2 linked regions of the Arabidopsis thaliana genome follow. The protein of the gene in region 1 purifies or fractionates together with the protein of each later gene. This does not show direct contact. Each region holds a gene or a part of one and is shown in the gene's direction. Other genes may lie near its edges. The genes, in order: SGT1B and GME.

What was found.
Region 2: the proteins of SGT1B (region 1) and GME fractionate together in Arabidopsis thaliana (co-fractionation; one large-scale study listed by BioGRID). This does not show direct contact.

The regions. Positions count from the first base shown.
Region 1 is NC_003075.7:6,850,539-6,855,624, reverse strand, and holds SGT1B (phosphatase-like protein), read left to right. Parts: upstream 1-1,712; 5' UTR 1,713-1,905; coding exon 1,906-2,065; intron 2,066-2,392; coding exon 2,393-2,462; intron 2,463-2,567; coding exon 2,568-2,692; intron 2,693-2,800; coding exon 2,801-2,927; intron 2,928-3,005; coding exon 3,006-3,102; intron 3,103-3,220; coding exon 3,221-3,286; intron 3,287-3,365; coding exon 3,366-3,504; intron 3,505-3,629; coding exon 3,630-3,709; intron 3,710-3,795; coding exon 3,796-3,900; intron 3,901-4,002; coding exon 4,003-4,110; 3' UTR 4,111-4,441; downstream 4,442-5,086. Other genes in the region: AT4G11270 (Transducin/WD40 repeat-like superfamily protein), read right to left, coding at 1-1,164; AGL52 (AGAMOUS-like 52), read right to left, coding at 5,058-5,086.
Region 2 is NC_003076.8:10,861,446-10,866,765, reverse strand, and holds GME (GDP-D-mannose 3',5'-epimerase), read left to right. Parts: upstream 1-1,819; 5' UTR 1,820-2,040; intron 2,041-2,721; exon of another isoform or gene 2,722-2,740; 5' UTR 2,741-2,741; coding exon 2,742-3,151; intron 3,152-3,237; coding exon 3,238-3,334; intron 3,335-3,411; coding exon 3,412-3,541; intron 3,542-3,627; coding exon 3,628-3,760; intron 3,761-3,838; coding exon 3,839-4,046; intron 4,047-4,138; coding exon 4,139-4,294; 3' UTR 4,295-4,750; downstream 4,751-5,320. UniProt on the Arabidopsis thaliana protein: Catalyzes a reversible epimerization of GDP-D-mannose that precedes the committed step in the biosynthesis of vitamin C (L-ascorbate), resulting in the hydrolysis of the highly energetic glycosyl-pyrophosphoryl linkage.

The DNA.
Region 1 (5,086 bases):
TTCAACATCACAACAACTAGACTCAACGCGAAGAAGATTCTGCCTCAACTGAACAAAACAAAACGTTGATTTCACGGAACGCTTATCATCAGGGGCAGTAACAATCTCACCGAAGTTTTTATATGTAAATTCACCATCTATATATGACATAGTAAACAGCACAGCAGAACCACTACCATCCCACAGCACAAAAGTTTCAGAAATACTATCATCTTTATCACCTTCAATAGTTGATGTACTAGAGTAAAGTATCATTGCTTCTTTGAACAGAAAATTTGAAGAATGCGAATCATCAACAAAAGATATCTCTCCTATTGCCTCCTCGCGATTCAACAACCAAAAGACACACCTACTCTTCGAGAAAAACGCAACAAGATCCCCTCGAGTTATTACTGATACAGCAATTTCCCCTTCACTCAACCAGTTTCTAGACACTAGAGAGCCTTTGCTCGGTTCAGATTTCTCTGACACTGAGACCAACTGCAACCTACCAAACGAATCAGCCATAAGCAATGATTCCTGCTCATCTAACTGAACCACGCCCATAAAATTCAAACAACCAATAGATAAATTCCCATGGAAAACTGTATGAACAATAGTAAGAGTGTAAGTATCAACAACAACCACCGTGCATCTCGACTTCTGAAAATCAGTATCTGCTAAAGTCTCAGCCCCATCAACATCGATATAAGAACAACCAACACATACATATCTAGGCTCTGATGGCAAAGTAGACAAAATCGATGGACTTCCAACCCAAGGAGGTAATTTTCTTCGTTTCCTACACTGACCACTACTTCTACTCCATACACACAAGACACCATCAGTACAAGCACTGATCAATGCACAACAGTTAACAAATGGATCCGCATTACCATTATCTGATGCAACAACTCCATTACTTGAAAGTATTGTAGGATCACAAATAGCAAGATCCACTATTGGTGAAGTATGGCCACACAACATAGCAATCGGTTTAATCTCATGATGAGGGAGACGAGTTACAGAATTGGATTCGGAAGAAGAAGAGATGCTCCACCAGATGATTGACCCATCGGATCCACCGGTATAGAGAGTCGGTGGATTGGTTAGAGAGGCTGTGGCGGTGACCCGATGAGACGGAGGAGCACGAGACCATAGGCAGGCCACAGATCGGCACTTCATCGGCTTGAATCAAGCGGTACAAGCATCGACCGAGTCAGTGAACGAGTCGGGGTGAGAGAAGAAGGAAGAACGAACTGGTAAACGACGTCGTAACAGTAATCACGACAAATATATCTGTACATATTTAGATGGATTTTTCGAGGTTGCAAATAAATTTTTTAAGGTAAATATTTGGCAAAAGTTTGATAATTGATATTTTAACTTTACTAGATTATTATCAACTTAAAATACTTAAATCTGTGTATTGGACGACGGGTCCTAATCTAGTCAATATATAAATTATAACTTGTTAAAATATATCATAGTCTAAATTCACAAATCACATTGTATTTGCTAAACTATGAGTAAACGATTACGATATAAACAAAATGAGTAGAAAATGATTATTTTAAATTATTGTAGTTCTCTATAAATATCTTTACCATTAGTTTTCTTTCCTTTTTTCAGTATTATTCTTTTGTCAACTAATTTATTTGTTAAAAAATCTGGACTTATCAAGAATCAATCTTATGTTAAAAAATAAAATCAAAAGGAAATTAGAAAATAAAATAAAATCTAATTACCTTTTTGTTTTTGGTTATATGACCTAGTAGAGGTATTAAAACGTTCTTAAAAGAAAAAAAAAATCCCAAACACAGCAAAAAAAAAAAAAGCCTAGAGGAATAGAATCGGTCTCTTTCTCTATAATCTCTCTCTCTCTCTGACTTGTTTGTGTTCTCTCAAATCCTCTGATAAGAATCAATGGCCAAGGAATTAGCAGAGAAAGCTAAAGAAGCTTTTCTAGATGATGACTTCGATGTTGCTGTTGACTTATACTCCAAAGCCATTGACTTGGATCCCAATTGCGCCGCCTTCTTCGCCGATCGTGCTCAGGCCAACATCAAAATCGATAACTTCACTGGTATAAATATAACTCTCTTCCTTACCGTTAATATCATCGTTAAAGATTGAAACTTTATTAGATGTATTGCTTCGTTGACGCTTTTGGGGTTCTGGGTCTTGTTCTTTTGTCGTTACTTTAATTCGATCTGTTGATAGTGGAACAAAGTTTTGATTTTTGTTATTGGTTTGGTTTAGTTTTAGTTTTAGGGTTTCTTTTGTGAGGTTGTTGATTCGGATAAGAAAACTTATTTGAGTAATTGTAATTGTAGTTACTGTACTTTGATTGAATTGTTGTTGTTTGATGATTTGATTTGATATTTTATCTTTTTGTGGTTTCTATGAGCAGAAGCTGTTGTAGATGCGAACAAAGCCATTGAGTTGGAGCCAACGTTGGCAAAAGCCTATCTCAGAAAGGGGTATGATATTTTCACCATCTCTCTGTAGTGAATGATTTGATGTTATGTTCAAATTTGATTGGAATTATAATTCTATCTTCTGATTCTTTGCTACTGTGTTCGCAGCACTGCTTGTATGAAGCTAGAAGAATATAGTACTGCTAAAGCAGCCCTGGAAAAGGGAGCTTCTGTTGCACCGAATGAACCAAAGTTTAAGAAGATGATAGATGAATGCGATCTTCGTATTGCAGGTATGTTACATCAACTCCATAGCTTAAGAAATTAGTTACTAAACGATTTTGGGTATTTGTCTGCGCCTAGGGCTATAATTTTGATATAGTCTTTGTATCTCTGTTCAGAAGAAGAGAAAGATTTGGTTCAGCCGATGCCACCGAGTTTGCCTTCAAGCTCTACAACACCACTAGCAACGGAAGCTGATGCTCCTCCTGTTCCAATTCCTGCAGCACCTGCCAAACCGATGTTCAGGTAGTCTGGTTATCTAACATGTAAATTCTTCTTTAATTTCCAGAATCATTTTATACTCATAACTTTATTGCTCAACAGGCACGAGTTCTACCAGAAACCAGAAGAAGCGGTGGTGACAATTTTCGCCAAAAAAGTACCTAAGGAGAACGTAACTGTCGAGTTTGGTGAGCAGATTGTGAGTATCCTTCAATCAGAGAATTCATGACTTTTATCTGAACTTCAGAAACTATCTCTCTTTGTAATTTAACACTGTATTGATTTGAGATGTCTATCTTGGCTTTATTTTGGTGCAGCTGAGTGTTGTCATTGATGTTGCTGGAGAGGAAGCTTATCATCTCCAGCCGAGATTGTTCGGGAAGGTATATTTTATTTGACATATGTAATTACGGTGTTTTCACACACACTTTTACTAAATCCTTCTTCATGGGTGTTTTTCAGATAATACCAGAGAAGTGCAGATTTGAAGTATTGTCGACCAAAGTTGAGATCCGTCTTGCGAAAGCAGAGATAATCACCTGGGCCTCCCTTGAATATGGTAAAGGGCAAAGTGTTTTGCCCAAACCCAATGTCTCATCAGGTTTGTCTCAGAAGATACCAGCTTACGTTTACTATTTTATTCTGAACCACAATCGTAAAACCTTAAACAAACTGAACCCAAAGTGGTCTCTCTCTCTTCTCATTTGATTTTATGTGCATATGCAGCGCTGTCGCAGAGACCAGTGTACCCATCTTCTAAGCCAGCAAAAGACTGGGACAAGTTGGAAGCTGAAGTGAAGAAACAGGTTCCACAAACGCTAACTTCTCATCCTTAACACTAGAGGCTTTGCTGTACTTTGTTCTTTCTGCTTATCACTTTTGAATTTCGCAGGAGAAGGATGAGAAGCTTGATGGAGATGCAGCTATGAACAAATTTTTCAGCGACATATACTCGAGTGCAGATGAAGACATGAGGCGGGCAATGAACAAATCATTTGTGAGCAAATCTATCTTTGGTCTTTAAAATTTTGGTTTAATAACTCTGCTTTGTTCTTCGACTAATGAGATTTTCCTCTCGGGTGGTTTTTGGGTTTGACAGGCAGAGTCGAATGGGACGGTACTGTCGACAAACTGGAAAGAAGTTGGGACTAAGAAAGTGGAGAGCACTCCACCAGATGGCATGGAGCTCAAGAAGTGGGAGTATTGATCTTCTTAAAATCCCCTTTTCTGGTTTTTGTTAAAAAAAAGTCTGACAAATCTTTTGAACTTTTAAGGTGTTTTTCTTTTTTGGTTTCTGCTCGAATTTGTCTCTCTCCATTCTTGCGTTGTGGTCTCAAAGAACGTTCTGATACTTTGATTTTGTATTAGAAAACTAAAACTCGCAAGTCTGTTGTTTTGGAACTTTGTTCTTTTATCGAGAGGCTTATCTAAATATTTCTTGACATAATTGCATTGTGGTCTAAAAGGTTAGTTGTATAAGCCCAACTTTCTTTAGTTAAAACCGATGTGCATCTATATAGTGAGACAGTATTTTCACCTTTGGGGTTCCTGGTCTAGGAACACTGTTGTTGAATCCAAATCTTTCTTTCTTCTCAAATGCCTTAAGGATTTGAAATGAACATGTTAAGCTATCATCAACACTCATCAATGCACCAGCATTGTCAAACTCGCCACAGTAATTGGGTGCAGAGAATTTGTCTTCACGAAATCAGAGCTACTTTCCATCTTCATGTATATATTAGCTGATTCAGACAAGAAGGATACTAAGTTACAAGTTTGTTATAAGATGCAAGAGTAAAGGATTTCACTTTGCAGGTTGTATCAACCAATTGAAACAGTCTTGTCACCATAAGTGATTTTAGATTATAATTTGTTTCATGCAAGTTTTTGTGAAAGACTTTTATGGAAGTTCATATATATATATATATATATATATATAATACTAACTGAAATACCAACTTAAAAGTAAAAACAAAATCTCCACAAATGGATCTGTTTTACAGTTATAACAACACTGTAAAATAAAAAAAGACAGTAGCAGGAAGAATTCAGAAGCAAAAACAGCTTCAATCTCTCTCTGATCAGCTTCCTACTTATAAGTATTGACTGACTCTTAATGAAGCTTCAAAAAACAAATCCTTTTGGACAGATTTGTTAGCAGAGAAGTCTTGAGTTGTCAGAAA
Region 2 (5,320 bases), on another chromosome or scaffold:
TTATTTATATTAAATAGTAAATATAATTTTGTTTTCATATATGTGCACGTACACAAGAACAAATGTATGAGTATGACATATTATAGTTGATAGATCATTTATTTTTTCAATTTGTTTTCATGTTTTAATTTATGGTATGTTTACAAATTTTAACAAAGCATATGTTAATCCCCAAAAGTTACAGCTGTATCTGGTATTGTGTTTAAAGATAAGTAAAAATGAACTCGGAACATGATATTTAATGTAATATAACGAGAATAGGAATGACGAAAAAGGAACGACATAGAAGGAGCCAACACGGGATAAAAACATAGCTTTTAGATTACAACAAGTTACAATTTAAGCAAATTAACGTTTGCAATCAAATATGTAACATGTGTTTTCAATTTATACAGCATAAAAATGCTCAAAATAATAAATGTTATTATAGTATGCTTTATAATAGTTAAAATTTAAAAATAAACAAATGTAATTTAATATTTATGAACAAAATATTAAACAATAAGAAGAAAGAAGTCAATTAATTTTGTAATATTTTTATTATATCATATCATATAAAAATATACATGAATTATATTTGTGTTTGTCCCAAACAGGATATAGAGAATTTTTGCTTCCATCACGTTCTGTTTCTAATCGGAATACAAATTTTTTCTCATATTAGAAATGCATTCTCTTATGAGAAATAAATTGGAGAACGAGTAAGATATAATGGAACATGATAAAATTGAATGAGAATTACGCCTATCTCTAAATATTTATATTTCTCGCAAACGTATTTAATCATTTTAATGGTTTTATATACGGTTTGATAGTTTACAAGTTTAATAAAAATCTACCTGACCATTAACTCGAATCAGTTTGATCTCGGTTCGACCGTTTGATTGTTATGAACTTTAAAATACTACTAAAATCATTATTATTTCAAATATTTCAACCAACTAATATAGTTTAGGTTATATATATACTATAACTATATAAATAATTTTTAACATCAATCTAACTTATATTATATTTTAATTTAAGATTTTTTTTTCTAATTTACTCTTCAGTTTCAAACTCCAAAAATGGACTTATGGTTGCTCTTATGTCATAAACAAACATAAATAATATTTTATATTTTTATGTGTACATTATAATTATTCAATACAGTATATATCACTAAAATAACAAAATAATTATATATTTAATAAAAATTTATTACAACACATTTCTTAATATATGAAGATGTACTATTATTTGCAAATACAAAATATGTTAAATAGTGTTTTAGTTAATTAGAAAATAACAAAAATTAAAGTAATTTTTCTCAAAATAATAATTATTTAAAGATTAATTGCTTAATTATTTGAATTTTATAAGAATTTCCTTTTAATGTGTATTATATATATGTATGAATAAGACTAATTGAAAAATCTGTAATAATCTAGTAAAATTTGGACAATTATTTAAATGGATTAGAATCACAACATGACGGTTTCGTTAATAACACGCCAATATAAATATTTTATTAAAAAAACTTCTCAATTAATATATAGAATATACATATATTTATTATTTACAAATATTTTTATATATTGAAGCTAGAAAATAAAAAAATTATGAAATTGTTTGGTGCACCAATAAAGAAAATATTTAGTTTTTTTTTTTTTCTAAACTAAAACATTTCTTATTATCTATCTAAATACGATTCAACAAATAGTAAAAATAATATGCATAATATAAATCATCAAACCTAATAAAAAGTAATAAATCTTCTATAAAATCTCCTATTTTCTAAAAAACTCTCTACAAAAGAAGTATTAATTTTTTTTTTCGAAGGATTTTATTAGTTATAAAATAAATTTAACAGAAAGAGGCACAAATACCAATAGGAGTTGGAAAACTAAAACAACGAGTGGTGTTGCTCTCTCCATCTTCCTCTTCATCTTCTTCTGTTCTCTCTCTATAAATACAAGTTTACTCTTCCTCTTCCTCAAATCTCTGACTCTTCTCTGCATTATCTCTTCGATCTCTCCAACTCTCCAAAACCTTCCTCAGGTAAAAGATCCAATCTTCCTTACAATTCCACTAATCTAGGGTTTTAAAATCCCAGATTCCTGAATCAAAACTTCTCTGAGATCCGAATTTCGCAATTCTGTGTTTTTGGCTAATTTACGCCTCGCAATTTTGTGTTTTTCGCTAACTTACGCCGAATCCAATGCATCCTCTGTCAAAACTCTCTAAATCCCAAATCTTTTTACAGAAATTTATCACAAATTAGGATTCCACAGTGATTTCTAGCTTTCGCATGAGAGATCTTATTGTGTTTAACATATTTCTTTGCAATTTTGTGTGTTTTTGGCTAACTTAAGCGTCGCAATTTTGTGTGTTTTCACTAACTTACACCGAATCCAATGCATTCTCTGTCAAAACTCTCTAAATCCCAAATCTTTTTACAGAAATTAATCACAAATTAGGATTCTACAGTGATTTCTAGCTTTTGCATGAGAGATCTTATTGTGTTTAACAGATTTGTTTTGCAATTTTGTGTGTTTTTGGCTAACTTACGCCTCGCAGTTTTGTGTTTTTCGCTAACTTACGCCGGAATCCAATGCATCAATAATCTTACCTCTGTCAAAACTCTCTAAATCCCAAATCTTTTTTATAGAAATTTATCACAAATTAGGACTCTACAGTGATGTCTAGCTTTTGCATGAGAGATCTTATTGTTTTTAACAGATTTGTTTTGTTAATGTAGAATGGGAACTACCAATGGAACAGACTATGGAGCATACACATACAAGGAGCTAGAAAGAGAGCAATATTGGCCATCTGAGAATCTCAAGATATCAATAACAGGAGCTGGAGGTTTCATTGCATCTCACATTGCTCGTCGTTTGAAGCACGAAGGTCATTACGTGATTGCTTCTGACTGGAAAAAGAATGAACACATGACTGAAGACATGTTCTGTGATGAGTTCCATCTTGTTGATCTTAGGGTTATGGAGAATTGTCTCAAAGTTACTGAAGGAGTTGATCATGTTTTTAACTTAGCTGCTGATATGGGTGGTATGGGTTTTATCCAGAGTAATCACTCTGTGATTATGTATAATAATACTATGATTAGTTTCAATATGATTGAGGCTGCTAGGATCAATGGGATTAAGAGGTTAGTTAGATTTTGTTTTCTTCGGTTTTCGCAGTTTACGGTTTCTTAAAACAAGTTAAAAAGATTGGATTTTTTGTTTGCTTTAGGTTCTTTTATGCTTCGAGTGCTTGTATCTATCCAGAGTTTAAGCAGTTGGAGACTACTAATGTGAGCTTGAAGGAGTCAGATGCTTGGCCTGCAGAGGTTTGTGATTATTTTTTATATGTTCTTGCTAAAGATTTATGAGTCTTTTCTTATGTGATGTTTTGATGCTGATATAGCCTCAAGATGCTTATGGTTTGGAGAAGCTTGCTACGGAGGAGTTGTGTAAGCATTACAACAAAGATTTTGGTATTGAGTGTCGAATTGGAAGGTTCCATAACATTTATGGTCCTTTTGGAACATGGAAAGGTAGTATACAGATAAACAGTTTCCGTACTTTGTGTGAATGATTAGTTGTTTACTATTGGGATTAATATTTGCTTGGATCAACTTAGGTGGAAGGGAGAAGGCTCCAGCTGCTTTCTGTAGGAAGGCTCAGACTTCCACTGATAGGTTTGAGATGTGGGGAGATGGGCTTCAGACCCGTTCTTTTACCTTTATCGATGAGTGTGTTGAAGGTGTACTCAGGTGAGGGTATCTCCTGATGTTGATGAAGTTGTATGTTAGACGTAATTGGCTGATATTTTCGTCATTTTTGTTTTATAGGTTGACAAAATCAGATTTCCGTGAGCCGGTGAACATCGGAAGCGATGAGATGGTGAGCATGAATGAGATGGCTGAGATGGTTCTCAGCTTTGAGGAAAAGAAGCTTCCAATTCACCACATTCCTGGCCCGGAAGGTGTTCGTGGTCGTAACTCAGACAACAATCTGATCAAAGAAAAGCTTGGTTGGGCTCCTAATATGAGATTGAAGGTACCAACATTATTTACTTAAGTAGCTCAAAGACAAGATAATAATCTAATTCTTTTATTACTGATATTGTTTTGACCATAATCGTTAAACAGGAGGGGCTTAGAATAACCTACTTCTGGATAAAGGAACAGATCGAGAAAGAGAAAGCAAAGGGAAGCGATGTGTCGCTTTACGGGTCATCAAAGGTGGTTGGAACTCAAGCACCGGTTCAGCTAGGCTCACTCCGCGCGGCTGATGGAAAAGAGTGAAGTTCACCAAAGTATAAGTCAAGCTCAAATATGGCCTTTTAAGTTCAGCAAAATGTTTAGATATATTTTTAGGTAGCTTCCTATTAAAAAAGCAATAATAAGTGTTTTGGATTTTGGTTCCTTCTATTCTGCTAATCCTTGTTTATGTTTAGTTGAAAAAGTTTGCTTGCATTGTTAAGTCTGTTATCATATTATTGTGGTCCTTTCATTCACAGTATGTATGTTTATCATCATAGTCAAGTTGATGTCGTGGTCCTCTCACGGACCAGTACAAGTAAGTGGCTTGTGTTTTTTCTTGCATCTTATCATCTATTCACACATCTCTAGAGGTTAGGGATCACTCACGGTGACTCACCATTCTTTCTCTTCCATCCACTTCTTTATCCCATTCCTCGGTCAAAAATGTCACACGTAATAAATCATAAGGTTTTAAGTTTATATATTGCTTTTTTTATGCAACTCTCCCGATCAGCAAAATATCTAAAATTTGAGATTTTTATCCATGTTCTAAGATTTGGTCTTAGACTCGAGATGATCCGAAAAATAACGTATTTACTATTTTAAATTTTGAATATACATTTTATCAAAAAACAAATATGAGATAAGGACGATATTATTATAACATAACATATAATGTTTTTTTATTATTTTAAATAATATCAAAGGAAATAAAGCTTAAACTTAATCCAAAACTAAGAAAAAAACCACTAAATCAAAAGGAAAAGCATAGTAAAATCTCAAAACAATTAAGCAACTTTCGGCTCAATTGTTAGCTTCTTTGAATATATATGTTATCAGTGTTTTTTCAAAAATCTTTGACGTTAGCATCATACTACAAATATTCATTTATGCATCTAAAATAAGACAATCGATATATTTCAAATCATCAACTCAACAATCACCCAATTTTTTGTTGTGGTTTTGCTCTTGCTCTCACTCTTCTTCGTGTCGCTTCTCAAATGAGCCCAAATCACCTTTTATATCATATGCAAAAGCAAATGAAGCATTTAACTCAACCCAAATTTA